2 linked regions of the Arabidopsis thaliana genome follow. The protein of the gene in region 1 interacts with the protein of each later gene in a pairwise test. Each region holds a gene or a part of one and is shown in the gene's direction. Other genes may lie near its edges.

Region 1 (8,699 bases):
ACGTCAAGGTGTTTATAAAATCCCGATTATAATTAATCCATTGGAATTTATAATGAATTAGTGTATTTGCAAATATATTTGACCTAGGATATTATAACACATATATAATGATGAGTAACTAATAGTACGTACAAACAATACGTCAATACCATAATCAAATATAAAAAGATGGCGCAATGGTGAAGCAAGGCACCCCAAGGCAAAGAAGTGAGCTCATAAAGTCACTGAGGCTTGCTTCTTCTAATATTCGTCTGCTCCTGATCCCTTTTTATCTTTTGTTTTTTCATATTATCAAATTGGTAATATAAAGAAAAAAGCACCTCCCATGCTTTATATATAGTTTATATACACACTTGAGTCATACGAGATTTATGTGTATAATTGATATAATCAAAGTTGTTAACGACAGAAGGTAAACTAACAATCTTGAATTTAGCAACTCCCTCTCCATTAGTCAAATATTTACATTTAATTATCAATTACTTGCAATCTCCGTTATCAACATTTAACTTTTACTATTTGCATATGTCGAAGCTTTGGATTCCACGGGAAATTACGAAACTCATCGGATTCATTTTTCCATATAGTAACAATAAACAAATGACCTGTCTTCCTTATACATTTGGTAATTATATATAGAGTGATTAGAATCGAGCAACATACATATATCATTAAGGTTTTGTTAATTCAAATTCTTCTTGTATTATTATATGCGTTGATCATGATGAATCCTTGTGGCTATAAGATGACCGGTCAATGCAAATATCTTTAATCTATATAAAGGTTTCCAATGATAATCAACTTATTATTGACACGTCTTACTTGAAATGTAGTATAATTAGCATCACATATAATAATTGGATAAAATACATTACGCAGTCATGCAATTGAACATTTGTAACGTAATTTCATTATTTGGTCGTGTATATCTCACTCTATTCCACACACTCTGCAAGTGCAGAAACAAAGTACATTTTAGCAGGGAACTAGCTAAAATTATATTTCGCTGTTATATTGTTAATTGTTTTTTTTGTTGGTAGCCTAATCTTATCGAACCATTAGTATAACAAAATAGACAATCACCTATATATGAAACAATGAAGTAAGAAAATAACATACAAATGGTTTGACTGTTGGAGCGGGTAGAGCAGACAAATCCGTTTGTTATCATTCATAAATTATAGTCATTAGAAGTGCGTATCAAAAAATACGAAATTAAGTTGATACGGATCTACTTCATATTGCTTTTACATTAAAACAAAATTAGTTTGCAGTAAATTGTTGTCTGCTTTCAAAAATTTAATAGAGTAATTCGCTTATAGTTTAGTCGCTTTTTTAGTATCCATTTAAAGCCAAAGTAGTAATGTATCTATGGAAGAAAGTAAGAAAATAAAAACAGAGCAAAAGAAGTATCATTTTAAAGTTCAAACAAAGTAGGTTGGTTTGAGAATTTAGGTGATATATTTGTTCAATCTTCACTAGTACCCATTTTATAATGAGAAATTCCTACAAATAGCACACTTTTAAGTTTTTTGGATAAAAATAGCATTAAAAGGTTTTTTAGACATAAATAGCACTCAAATAATAATACCACAATTTTATGGACAATAATAATACCACAATTTTATATAAAATCTATTCAACCAAAATAAGTTAGAAATAAATTTAAAATATTATATTTGGGTTCTCTATTTCCAATTTAGGGTATATATTTTAACTATTTAAAAAAAATTTTGATTCCTTTTAATATTAGTTTATGGTATTATATTTGGGTTTCCTATTTCCAATTTAGGGTATATATTTTCACCATTTAAAAGAGATTTTTCATTTTAAAATTAGTTTGTAGTATTATATTTGGGGTTTTTATTTCCAATTTAGGGTATATATTTCCACTATTTAAAAGTTTTTTGATTCAATTACTTCTTTTGCAATAAATATCTAATATTTTTTTATTCTTTAAAGTGGTTCAAAATCTGGCATTTGTTAAAAAGAAACAAAAAATTGTCACTCTTTCTCTATGAAACATATTACTATTATATTGTTTAAAAAACAAGAAACTATATTATTATCAACACTTTTCTGTTGTTTATTAGCTAATACTCCCAAAACATTTTTTTTGGACAAATACTAATACCCCCAAAAACTAATAAGCTGTTTTTTCTTACGTTACAAGCATATAAATTCTTATGTTTGTTAGGTCAGTCAATGTTTTCTTTCATTTCGTTCATATCTAGAGTTTCAAAGGCCTTTGCATTTCACATTTTCTACATAAAATTAATGTTTTCTTTTCCGTCTAAAAATAGACCAGTCAGGCTTTGGCAGTAAAAGATCAAAGTAAAAAAATAAAAACAAAAAGTTTGTTCAAATGGCGTTTTCACATGGCAGTTTGTTCATTGACTTCTCAATTTTTCTTTATTGACTTAAAAAAAATAATCTGAATATATATGTTGGGAATTTCAAAACCTAACAAAAGGTAAGTACAAAGACTTAAGGACAAGGAAAACCAAGCTGTCACAACCTAATTAGTAATTTAAAATGTGTGATACAATGATGATTAAAAACAAAACAAAGACTTAAAAAGATTTCTAAAGTTAATCAATGTTTGTAACTGTTTGGACGAGATTCCAAAGTGACGAATCTTTTGATACATAAAACTGTACATTACATCAGCTCTATTTATGAGTAAATGACAACTTTATGTGGTAAATAAAATGGTTTAACGATAGTATATGTTATTATCATATTTAATCTCCCCAGCCTTAGTATATTTTAAAGTTGGGTCTTACCAAATTCATGAAAGAACTTTAACACACACAAAATTCATAGAAGAACTTTTTTTTAGCATGATACTAAATTTACATGATCTAAAACTCAAACAAAATGTAATATCTATATATATTATGCTGGTTTTTTTTTCAATATGATTTTTTAATTGTTTGGTACTTGATATTAATACTAAAATGCAATTTTATTTATTTATTGAATTATTGACTTAATTTGTAATAAAATCTAATAAAAACATTACACGTATTAGTGTATTACATATTTTTTAAACAACTAAGTAATAATTTACGGTTATAAATTTTTAATACAAACGGCTCTGTTTATGAATATTTGTAGTTTAAGGTTTTTGCATACAAATTAAGAAAACATACAAATCTCATTTAATTTATCTATTTCTTATAAAAACACCATTAATTACAACTAATCCAACCAATAAAAAAATATGATGCAAAATATAATTGGTTAAAAACTATTAAATACATTTAATGTTTGCATAGAAAAGTGAAAACAACATTTATATTGAAAAAAATAAAAAATTATTGAACTACACTTAATTAAAAACAGAGGATTATAGAGAATTTAAGAGAGAATATTGGATTTTTTTTCCTTCTAATATTGCAAAAGAAGAATCTCTTGAAAAAGATTTGATTATCTTTGATAAAATCTTAATTCTTACTATCAATGAGAAAAAATCGAATAAAAAAATAACCAAAGTGGTAGTAATAAATAAATGTGGAAAATCTCTCAAAAGACCGAAAACCATCTCTCTCTATCTCACAATAAAGACAACTTCTCTCTTTTAATGTCTCTCTGTCCCTCTCTCTTCTTCTTCATCTTCTAACACCAATTCAAGAAAGAAGGAAGCTTAAGAAGAGTCTATCATCAATCAATGGAGTTTCATCTTGAACATCCTCTCTCACATTCTTCACTCCACAATAACTTCAACGACGACACAGACTATGAAACTTTACCACACTCTCTCTTCCTCGTCGAGTTTCAACACATGCCTTCTTCTCATTACTTCCATAGCCTCAAGTCCTCTGCTTTTCTTCTCTCTAATCGAAACCAAGCCATTTCTTCAATCACTCAGGTCTTTTTAACCAAAATTATTTTCTGGGTTTAGTTCTGAATACTGAATCGTTATCGAAAGACTTAACTTTATTTTAATTTGTAACTGAACAATCGCAGTATTCAAGAAAATTCGACGACCCATCTCTGACGTATCTTGCTGTGAATTATCTAGACAGGTTCTTGTCTAGCGAAGATATGCCGGTAAAAACAGAATCTTCCGACAGAATCTGTCCTTTGTTTCATCTGAGTTTTGACTAAATTGTTTTGTCAACAGCAGTCAAAGCCCTGGATTCTTAAGCTCATATCTCTCTCTTGTGTCTCTTTGTCTGCAAAAATGAGGAAACCAGACATGTCTGTTTCTGATCTTCCGGTAACTTAAAACTCATGAATCTTTATAATGTGAATGTGTTTTAAAGTGTTGATAAGTGTCTGAACATTGGATTTTTTTCAGGTGGAAGGTGAGTTTTTTGATGCTCAGATGATAGAGAGAATGGAGAATGTGATTCTAGGAGCTCTTAAATGGAGGATGCGCTCTGTTACTCCTTTCTCCTTTTTGGCCTTTTTCATTAGTCTCTTTGAGCTCAAAGAAGAAGATCCTTTACTACTAAAACATTCCCTCAAATCTCAAACCAGTGATCTTACTTTCAGTCTTCAACATGGTAAATACAGAATTGCTTTTCTTCAATCACATAATCACAATATGCTAAAATCTGTTTGAAAACGCTGCAGATATCAGTTTCCTCGAGTTTAAACCATCGGTGATTGCAGGCGCGGCACTTCTCTTTGCTTCTTTCGAGCTCTGTCCTCTACAGTTTCCATGTTTCAGTAACAGAATCAACCAATGCACATATGTAAATAAGGTAAAGAAGTCTTGAACAAGTAAACCATCTCAAATCGAGCTTTTTTTTCATCGCGGTACTAAGCGAGCATTAAACCGTGGTTGCAGGATGAGTTAATGGAGTGTTACAAAGCAATACAAGAGAGAGATATTATAGTTGGAGAAAACGAAGGAAGCACTGAAACAGCAGTAAATGTGCTTGATCAGCAATTCTCGAGTTGTGAAAGCGATAAGAGCATCACAATCACAGCTTCTTCTTCACCTAAGAGGAGGAAAACTAGTACTCGTCGTTACTAAGCTGAAAAAGGTGGTTAATGGTCAAACATAATCGTCAGATGAAATCAATCACTTAGCTACTTCAAAAACCACTTCTGGTCCCCTTATGAAAATGACACTTGCTTCCTTTCCCCTTATCTCCATCCATCTTCTTCTGCTTCAAAAATAAACCATTTCTCTCTTCCTGGAAGACAAGAGAGTGATGAATGATCAAAGACAAAGTCTCGGGTTCTGTTCCGTTGCTTGTTCCTTTGGACCACAACACAAAACTCAAAAAATTCAAAAGAAAAACAAATTACCAGTCTGTAGTATTTATCTATCTATCTACCTATCAATCATGTTCTGTATTTACAGTTTTGGCTTGTGGAGTTAAGTTGTTTCACTTGGGGGGAATAATCAATAAATATTGTTCTTGTGTAGTGTATATAACCCTATGGTTATGTTATTTATTAATGAACAAATGTGGTCACGAGATAACAATGAATTCAATTTTCAGGAATAAGATTTTGTCTTATGAGACTTCGTTATCCGACTTATATGGATCCAGTTGCCAGAATCTCTGTTGCAGGCAGGCAATATGATACTCTTTGGACCACTTTACACAGTCTTTAAATCATTCAATTGCTTTTGTTCTTACTGTAAATGAATCCCTTGCACTAACCCATATTAGGCCCACTAGCATCATAACGGCCCAAGATTGTGATATACAAGATCCATTCAAGCCCATTACTTAATGAAAACAATTGCAAGACTCAGACTGTGCTGAAAAGAATGTATACCATGGTTTCCAATTTCAGACATTATTGAGAAGCTATAAGAATCAAAGCTTCTGATGTATGTAATGCACAACAACAAAACACAAAGATGAAGAAGATGAATAAAGGGAAGAAAGTGTGTATCTATCACATCTTCATCGTTACCTCGCTAAGGAAATCGCAGGCAATGAAAGAGGGAGAGAGAGAGATCAGATAGGTCCGAGAGTTCCTTCACTTCGACTTCTTCGCATGGAGAGCTCAGTTCTCAGACTAGACAATCTATCACCAGTAGCAACGTGATAATTCTCGTAAGCAGCTGGAGATAGTTTGTGTCCCACAGGTGGAAGACGGCTGCGTCTCTCCTTGGACCGTTTCTGCAATGCTGGTGCTTTACGAGCTGTGGAGGATCCAGGTTTGTGAGAACTGGATGCACCATGGCTACTCTTCCGGCTACTGTTTTTGAGCTCTGATCTAAGGCCTCGGTCCAACTGATGTGTGCTTGTCCCGAGCCGAGCATCTTTAGTGCCTTGTCTATTATAGTATACCAAATTTGGCAGAAGTCCCAAAAGGTACTTTCTCAGTTGTTCATCACCAACATTCTTCTGTGCAGGGTTACCTTCCAAGCTTATAGCCTGAAGAGAACTGTAATTTGCAGCGAGCTGGCCAAGACATTTGGTGGTTGAAAACTTATTGAAGCGTAAATCCAGGACCGTCAATTTCAAAAGTCGATGAAGACCCTCGATTTCGCTGATTTTGTTCCCAGCTAGGTATAGTTCTTTCAGAGAGGAGCACGAAGCCAGACCTAAGTCAACAAGAAATAAGAAAAAGGGAAATACATCAAACATGGTTTTCATATAAAAGCAGATAACTAGGAAATGTCGATGAGCAAAGGTCGGGCCATACCATGACCAAGTCTCAGTATTCGGTTGTAACTCAAATCTAATACTCGAAGCCGAGTGAGTTCACGTAGGCCCTCAATCACCGAGATACTGTTCTTCGACAAATTCAATGCATGTAAACCTCGAGGAAGAGCACCAGCGGTTATTCTAACTGAAAGATGTAATAAGGCCAGTTAAATAGAAGAAACAAAAACAATCAGTATGTGAAGAAGATTAGCAAGAAGGGAAAATTTAGCTACCTATAGCATTTCCTGAGAGATTGAGAACTCTCAGACCAACAAATGCACTGAGGAATGGTATCACAACCAGACCATGACTAACCAGCTGGGCTGTGGTTGCAGAAGCACTTAGAGAGGATATATACTTTTTCGCAGCTTCCATTCCAGGAGTTAACTTGATGGCATCTACTTTAGCAGAAGATGTTGCTTGCTCATTCAACACGACGGGTTCTCTTGGCAACTCATCATCGTACCCTGTTATTTCATCAGCTTCCTCAGACAAGTTTACATGCTGAAGGTCATTGACCCAATCTTCGATACGCTTGAATTTAGAATCCTTTCCCGAAAATTCTGCTTGCTGGTTTGTTGTTTCTCCTTCAAGGAACTTTGATAATTTAAGCTCATCTGTTGGTGGTACGATCCAATCTTTTGCCAAAGAAGAATAATCATATGAATCATCATATCCATCCTCCACGAGATTTTCCTTGTTGTTATCTCCAGAATTATGCATATCATAGTCCCGATCTTGATCTTCCTCTTGCTTCACCTCTTCATCAGTCTCATGGACAGATTTATCTGTTTGGCGAGTGTCGAGGGCATGAAGGTCATCAGAGGATCTAGAGTGGTGAGAAGAATATTTGAAAGGTGAAGACTTCTCTGATGAAGAGTCAGCAATATTAGGCAATGAATTCGACCTCACCATCAAAGGTGAATCATGAGGTGTTTGACTGTTTGAGTTGTCCATCTGTTCACCATATAAGGAGGTATCATCGAGTTGACGGCTGTCTTTATCAGTATGATGAAGATCTCCAACCGAGAAAATAGACCCACAGAGTGCTTGATTTGAACCCTGGTAAGCAGAAACAGAAGCTCGAGGACCTTGCTGATACAGATTAGGACTTTCATCTACACGCTTGCTGCTGCCTGCCTCGTGAATACCACTCTGTTGTTCAAGAGAATTCGGAGAAGTAATCCGATCTGATGCATCGTCTGTTCCATTCTCTGTGGCATCCCGCCCATCCAAGTATAGTTCATTTCCATGAGATTGACTTTTCTTGAGATGCAGTACCTGGTGCGTCCCAATACCATGCTCAAGAATGCCACTGGGCTTAATTTCCTCAGATTTCCAGACACGCTCAACAGCGGCTGGCTTGCTGTTTTCACTAACAGAAGCAATGTTTCTCCCAAATATAATTGAGCTCAATCCTTTTGATTTAGACCCATCTTCTTTGATCACTCGTTCTGAAAATCCTTCAACAGATTTCTGCATCACCAGAACATAGAAACAAATTAGCATTCTCTTATTGGACAAAGGAGTCTTGGACAGAGAATGTAAAACTATCGTTCTAAAGACACAAGAGGCAATGATGGTTCAAGTTACCTTAGGTCTATGGCGGTGGATGTGAGCGTTGAAGCATGAAAACCTGACCATTGTGTCAAACTTAATAACATCGAACTACATCACCAACGGAAACTAAAAAAGCAAAACCAAACCACAAAAAAACGGTTCTTTACTTTACAACCACAACTAAACTAGAAACAATTAAGATCCAAGTTAAGTTTTTGCACGAATAAAAAGTTCTTATAAAAGCTTAAGAGGTGGTATAGTGGGCGTAGTAAATGTTAGCCGTAATCAAGGGTAAGACCCTCAGAAACACGACGGAGCCTCCAAATGATAGAAGCTAGAGAAATCCTTGGAAGACAGAGTGAAGTCACCACTTCAAGGCCACCCCACACCTGCGCAGAGGTGCGAGAAGCACACGACTTTGCAGAAGCGGCCAGAGTGAAGAACAATTGTTTCGAGCTTAATAAAGCCCCAGTCCCTTTGTTAATCCCCAATTACTTGGTCACCTGAGGA
Region 2 (6,899 bases), on another chromosome or scaffold:
ACATGTATCATGTCCTTGTGCTCTCAAAGCTTAGTTCTTGTTGTTACACAAAATATGTGAGACCTATACACAGAGACTCACAGTTTGTAATCGTTTTATCTTGATGTTTAGATATTCAAAGCTATCTCAAAGAAGGCCCGTCCTTATCAAACGACAATAACAATGATGATCCCTGGTTGGCAAACCCTGGATCAAATGTTCACTTTGGAGCTGGTTGTGATTCTTGTGGGGTAAGTGCATTATTACCTTAACCCGATTGTTAGTTGTGAAACCAAAATATGTGAATCGTAATTTGACACTGGTGCGGTTTGCTACAGGTGTATCCAATCATAGGGGATCGATACAGATGCAAAGACTGCAAGGAGGAAATTGGGTATGACCTTTGCAAAGACTGTTACGAGACTCCTTCGAAAGTTCCAGGGAGATTCAACCAGCAACACACTCCTGACCACAGGCTTGAGCTTGCACGGTCTCCTCAGGTTCTGATCAATTTCAATTCTATCGGTATCCTTCTCGGACCCGTTATCTCAAATGAAGGCATGGATACAGATGAAGGCGAGGAAGGGCCTCCTGGTTCTTCTAATGAGTCATCAAGCACAGAATGAAATAGCAGTCAAGTATTAATGCATATGCTTTCGCTTTGTGTTTGCGTTTGTTATTGTATTTATACTTCATAATATATTTTCTCCTGAGAAGTCTATGGTTTTAACATTTTAAACAAAGTTTATTTCTTAACAAAGTTTGTTTGCATTTGTGGTTGTTAAGTCACCTCTTTTGTTTATATTACCTTTAAAGTGTGATTTATTTTAATTCCTCTCATTAGTACACAACTATTATTGTTAGTGTAAAGAATCCATTTAACAAAAAAAAAGATAGAAGAAATTATCCATTTGAGACAAGATAATTGAATACAATAGTTACTAAAAGGTTAACTAGCCAAATTATTTGTTTGAATGATTAAAACTTTTTTTTGCACAAAAAAAAGATGATTAAAATCTTTTTTAAGAATATATAAAATTATGTATAAATTAAATTCTTAGATCATTTAAATACCCATATTATTCAATATTCATACTGAATCCGTTATCCGTATCATTCATTTTTTTTTTAAAAAGTACAGTTATAATAATAATTGTAATATCTTAAATTACACTTATTCGATTCTTTCAGTTATTATCCGGTATTTATCTGAAAAAGAATAAGTTTAGTCATGTAAATGTAAAAAAGAGTGAACTTTTGAAACAATTGAGGCATGTGAAAGCTTTTCAATATACATATTGGCTTGAACTTGAAGGATTGCTAATAGATAGTAACTGGATTCAAGGGACCCCATCAAGGTGAAAGATTCGCTCCTCTGAGTGCGTGTGAGGCAGCTACGATGTGATTGGTCGGAGTGTGGAACCCATGACTGCTCTTACGTCGGAAATCGTTTCTCGGGTTCTGTCTTTTTTAAAACACTTTATTATTGTATTAAAAAGAAAATAAAGGAAAAAGTTTTTTCAGTACGAGCGTGTTGTGATAACAGTTTTTTTTTTTTTTTTGGCGCCCTGAAAAAAAGGGCGGGAGGACGTGAAGAGTGTTATTGCAGATCCTTTATTTGTTTTTTGTTTTTTTTGCCTTTATCTCTGATTTTTGGGGATTCGGTAGCGTTCGAGATCTGAGCTGTTGCATGATTGCTGAGAGTCATCGCACGTGTGCCTTCCTTCTTTGTACGGTGAAAATAGTTTTTACCATATTTAAACCGGTTATAAAGTTTTGTTCAGGTTTAAAGTATTATGGGCTAGTAGTGTGATCTTTCGTGTTTGGATGAACTGATGAACAAAGAAATATCTAAAGATTGTACACAGTGTTGGTCATGCATACGATTTGAAGCATATAAAATCATGATTCATGAGAATGTCCCTTTGACATCTTCGATAAAATCATGAGAATTATGAATTATCGCAAGCTTTAAATTTAGAGATTTTTAATGTAATTCATCTTCTTCAATAATAATAAACCTCTCGATTAAGAATAATAAGCACCGGGGCATTGACATTGGGAGCCTCTACTCAGTACTCACCTTGTTGTTGTTTCACGGGTTACATATATATTAATATAAGAAGGCCTTTTAACAAAAATAAATAAATATAAGTCTGATTTAATGTATAAATGTATATCACGTAACAGTAGATTAATTAGTCGCCGCATCACGATTCTTGTTTCAAAGAAACAAAAAAGAATAAGACTGTGTTTGCTACACAAAAGAAATGTAGAAAACCAAATTGAGTCATATATTTACATTTCAGATACTATAAAGTATAAACTAAATTTTATGTAAAGGAAAATTAATTTTTCTATTTAGACGTGAGTATAAGCATGTAGTCAGACCAACTTTATTTGTTCGACAAATTTACCAACAAGTCAACTTTTGAAGCCTAATTTATGAAAGATAATCTCAACTATTACATCACAAAGAGAACGGTTGTTGAGATGATTACATAACTATAAAACTAGAAGCAACCAATATAAATGTCCAATGCTAATAAATCCAAAGAAAATAAATACTTAGGTAAGTGATCAACCCTATGATGTTAATTTTAAGACACTTGTTTACTTAAAAAAAAAAAATTTACAGTCAAATGTATCTGTATACAATTAATGTGTACGTTTTTGTCAAATGTGAAGAATTTAATAGATGGTTGACTCTTTTTTTCTTTTGAACCAATAACCTGCATGACATTTGAAAATCTGAATGCTAGCTTTTGTTTTGGATTGTTTGTACAAAGTTAACGTTGACTTGTCTACCAAATTTTATGAAACAATGAAAATGGATGCAAAAAATGAACTGCCTTATTATCTTAAACCAAAACAAATTTGACACATACAACGATCTTTGCATTATTTAACAAAAATAACTAAAAATTTCCACACGATATCAATTGCTTTATAATCATGGATGGTCTACCAAAGCAATTAATATAAGCTTGATGATCTTTATTCTCAAAGACCTTGTTACTTTCGGCAGCCTTTTATTATTTGTTGCACCAACCACTCATAAACTTTAAATACTATATATATAGTGTATAGAATAATTGGAATATATATTTCCAAAAATGTTCTTCATTTGAGAACTATTATTTTATGTTATTTTGGAGTAACTAAGAATTAATTATATAATATAAGTGAAATATAGAGTCGGAAATATGTCGTTTACTACATGAATTATCAAAAAGTTGTTATTTAATACGTAAATTTTATATATAAACATTTAATATATGTAAAAATTATTGACCGGTTATTTTACACAAACTTAATTGTTTATCAGCCAAAATTTATACCAACGTAAAAAAATTAGATAACATTAACTTAGTGTAAAATAACTTTTTTCTATATATTAAATGATTATATTCAAAGTTTACGTATTAAATGAATATTTTTTAAAAATTTGCGTATTAAACTATATTTTTCTCAAGCAAACTCAAATTAATACTTTAAATATCTCATATATTGTTCATAATTTACTTTTGTAAAGTAGACTTTTAAGTTTTAATCAGATAGAATACAAAAATTAAATTAAATTCCAATTAATTAAATTTTGATTTATCTTTTTTCGAAGAAAATGATGACAATCAGGTGAGAGGGCCTTTGACACCTTAAAAATTTGTCTAATTTGTTTTTTGATTCGATTTTAAAATAAATATTTCCATTGTCCTTTTAGTTTTCACTTTTTCAGATTAAAAATCACTTTTTTCCTCCTCCTTCGTTGCTTCCCTCCTTTCGCTCTCGACCGGAGATTCAGTAAACCACCTTCCCGGAGATGGGAAAATACATTAAGAAGTCAAAAGTCGCCGGTGCCGTTTCCGTTAAGGATAAATCTCACCCACCCGCTCTAGGTTTCCGTACCAGAGCCGCCGCCGCTAAAAACCTCGCCCTCCACCGTCTCCGTTCTCATTCCGACGAAGCAGACTCCTTTAACTACCTCCAGCTCCGGAGCCGCCGTCTCGTGAAGCTTCCATTACTCACTAATACCAGAAAACAGCAGAAGCAACAGCTCATTCCTAGTGTCAATCAATGTCAAACGAAAAACCCTAGGGCTAGTTCCGGTCCGGCGAAGAAATTAGAGCCGGATACGACGACGGAAGAAGCTTGTGGTGATAATGAGAGAATATCTAGGTCTGATTGTAATTTTGGAGATAAAGGTTTTGATTTGGAATCAGAAAACAGGTAACTTTAACTCTGTTTTTTTTTTCATTTTAAAGCTCCAAACTTTTTTTTTTTACTACAATACAGAGATTGAGTTTTGATATGTTGGTTCTCTCATAGGAGCATGATAAGTGATTCAAAATCAATACAAAGTGAGATTGAAGACTTCTTTGCTAGCGCAGAACAGCAACAACAGAGATTCTTCATTCAAAAGTACAAATCCCATTTTCTTTAGTGTCTTGATTCTCTTGAGTTTTTAGAGTTTGGTCTGACTTTGGGGGAGTTATGGTTTTGCAGGTACAACTTTGACATTGTCTCGGACAATCCATTGCCTGGACGTTACGAATGGGTCAAAGTGATGCCATGAAATGAGTTGTGTTCGATGTAAAGTTGTGTGCTTTAGGAAACATCTGTGTTGGAACAGAGGAGATGAAAATTGCACACAGACTAACTTTGTGGGGTTTTAGGGTTGGTGTATAACTTGTTAGTCAAGAATAATGTAATGTTAATCTCTCTCATTTGCTACAAATAAATGTCTAATTTAACTGTCAAGTTACTTAAATTAGTATTGTAAATCTCTTCATTGTTCTTTGGTTACTTCAGTGAAGGTCTGAGTTTTGTGGTTCTGCATTAGAGTTACTTTACAAGTCATATACTTTGGATTCAAGTAGCAAAAGTAGTGAACTTGTCTGAACAAAAACCTTAGTCACAGGTTTTATCTCTATCTTCTTTATTGATAGTTTGATACTCTAATCTCATTGGGCTTTTCACACATGTGGGTACTTGTACCAATTCCTCTGTCATACAGGTTGCAGTAAAATGCTTCGATTAGATTTCATCTCTCTCTTCTTTATTGGCACTGCACTCACTGTCTTGCTTTCTGGAATTATTTCTTCAAAAGTCTAAGTTAGTAGCACCTTTCATGCTAAAGATTAGGTTTCTTGGTTTCTGTAAAATATTTCACCTCTTTAGATCATTTGCTCATCGGATGAATCAAAACATTAAATAATGATGTCTATTCTTATTAGTACAAAGCGTTTAAGACCACTGTGTTATGTCTGATACTAGTACTAAATTCACATGATCATTTACATCTCTGAAGAATCAAAACCTTCTTGGTTTTGTCACCTTTTAACACATGAACAATATTTACTGATCAAGCCCTGCTTCTCCGATGGTTCAGCGTTTTTGTTTGGTTAATTTGTGAGCAAAACTGCAAAAGCAAGTCATAGGATGCTTAGAGTGATTTCATTCTCGTTGATAATAGTTGTATTAAGTAAATACGTAGTCTGTAATATTACAGTACCTGTCATGTTCCATCCCAACTCTACCACCGAAGCTTCACGGAGTTGCAGGTCCTGTACTCAACCTTTGCTTTGTTTCTGACATTTCAACTTCATATACACCCTTGCTTTCAGAAGTTTTACTGTCTTCCATGGCCATCCTCCTGATTTGAGCCTGTTGGATTGCTAGCACCTCATATCTGCAAATAATTTCCATGAACTACCAATGGTTAAACTCATATTTCTCGTGATCTTTATTCATCACTTTGTTACAAGCTAAAAACCCATCTCACTATCTCTATATGAAAGTGGAATCATACACAGAACAACAGAGTAAGGTGCATTTAACACCTACTAAGGGCATTACACCTGGAGTTATGGAACCATCTCAAACGAAATTTTTTGGCATAAGAAAGTACTTACTTTGCCACAATCTTCCTCACAAGCTGGAAATATATCCTCCAAAACTGATGTTCCTTTAAAACTCGCGGGCATAACTTGAATCTCAACTGTGAGAGTTCCTGTAACACGAAATCAATCTTGTTTAGAGCAGCTTTGAAAATAGATTCGTTTAAACCCAATGGTCCTATCAACCAAATTCAATTTTACCAACTGTGTAACAAAATCATCTTGAACTGCAAACACGAGCATGTTTACCATTTTCACTAACATGAGCCTAACCAGATTACAAGCAATTCAGGAAGATAGTAGCATCAAATGAACTATAAGATTCGGCACATAAACTCTGATCCGATTCTGATTCAAGTGATACCAGTGGACCAAGAGCTCTACCACTACCAGTTCCATCCATTTAGAAATCTTGCTTAGTCCTAAAGAGTAACTTTCAAATTTCCCTATAAGATTCGATCCATTGCTCCTAATTGACCAAACCCAAAGCTACAAGCAAATCAAGAAGACAGCAACTTTCTATAGGCGCTATAAGAATCATCAACTCTTATTTGAATCTAATTTAAATAGCACCGTTAGCTCCAAAATCCAATCATTGATCATTTGAAATCTCTACAGACAACAGCTACAAATTCCATTCATTTCAACACAAGTTCAATCATCAAAAGAAGCAAAATTTAGGAAATCAAGAAGACAACAGCTATGTAATAGGCTATATAAGAATCATCAGCCCACACACTCAGATATGAATCTAACTTTAAAATAGCACCATTGGCTCCAAAAGCTAAACTTTGATCATTTGTAATCTCTACAGCTACCAATTCCATTCATTTCAAAACAAAAGTCAATCACAAAAAGATTCAAAATTCAAGACCAAAAACCTTCGATTTCGATAACACGAGAACCGCGTGTTTCTCCTGCCAATCAGACAAATCCTTCTTCACATTTGCAGATGAACTCATTCCATTATCTTCATCTCCCAAAGGATTCACAGATACTTCTTCTTCTTCATCTGTTTTAGAA

The links.
Region 2: the proteins of CYCD6;1 (region 1) and ICK3 interact in a protein complementation assay, tested with the Arabidopsis thaliana proteins (one large-scale study listed by BioGRID).

The regions. Positions count from the first base shown.
Region 1 is NC_003075.7:1,428,666-1,437,364, reverse strand, and holds CYCD6;1 (Cyclin D6;1), read left to right. Parts: upstream 1-3,503; 5' UTR 3,504-3,673; coding exon 3,674-3,874; intron 3,875-3,972; coding exon 3,973-4,056; intron 4,057-4,129; coding exon 4,130-4,225; intron 4,226-4,306; coding exon 4,307-4,514; intron 4,515-4,584; coding exon 4,585-4,715; exon of another isoform or gene 4,716-4,801; coding exon 4,802-4,990; 3' UTR 4,991-5,521; downstream 5,522-8,699. Other genes in the region: AT4G03260 (Outer arm dynein light chain 1 protein), read right to left, coding at 5,934-6,526, 6,628-6,774, 6,863-8,105, 8,223-8,273.
Region 2 is NC_003074.8:9,057,191-9,064,089, forward strand, and holds ICK3 (Cyclin-dependent kinase inhibitor family protein), read left to right. Parts: upstream 1-3,645; 5' UTR 3,646-3,799; coding exon 3,800-4,206; intron 4,207-4,305; coding exon 4,306-4,398; intron 4,399-4,482; coding exon 4,483-4,552; 3' UTR 4,553-4,813; downstream 4,814-6,899. Other genes in the region: PRT1 (proteolysis 1), read left to right, coding at 112-230, 318-605; AT3G24820 (BSD domain-containing protein), read right to left, coding at 5,527-5,668, 5,892-5,989, 6,758-6,888. UniProt on the Arabidopsis thaliana protein: Inhibits CYCD2-1/CDKA-1 complex kinase activity without interaction with the complex.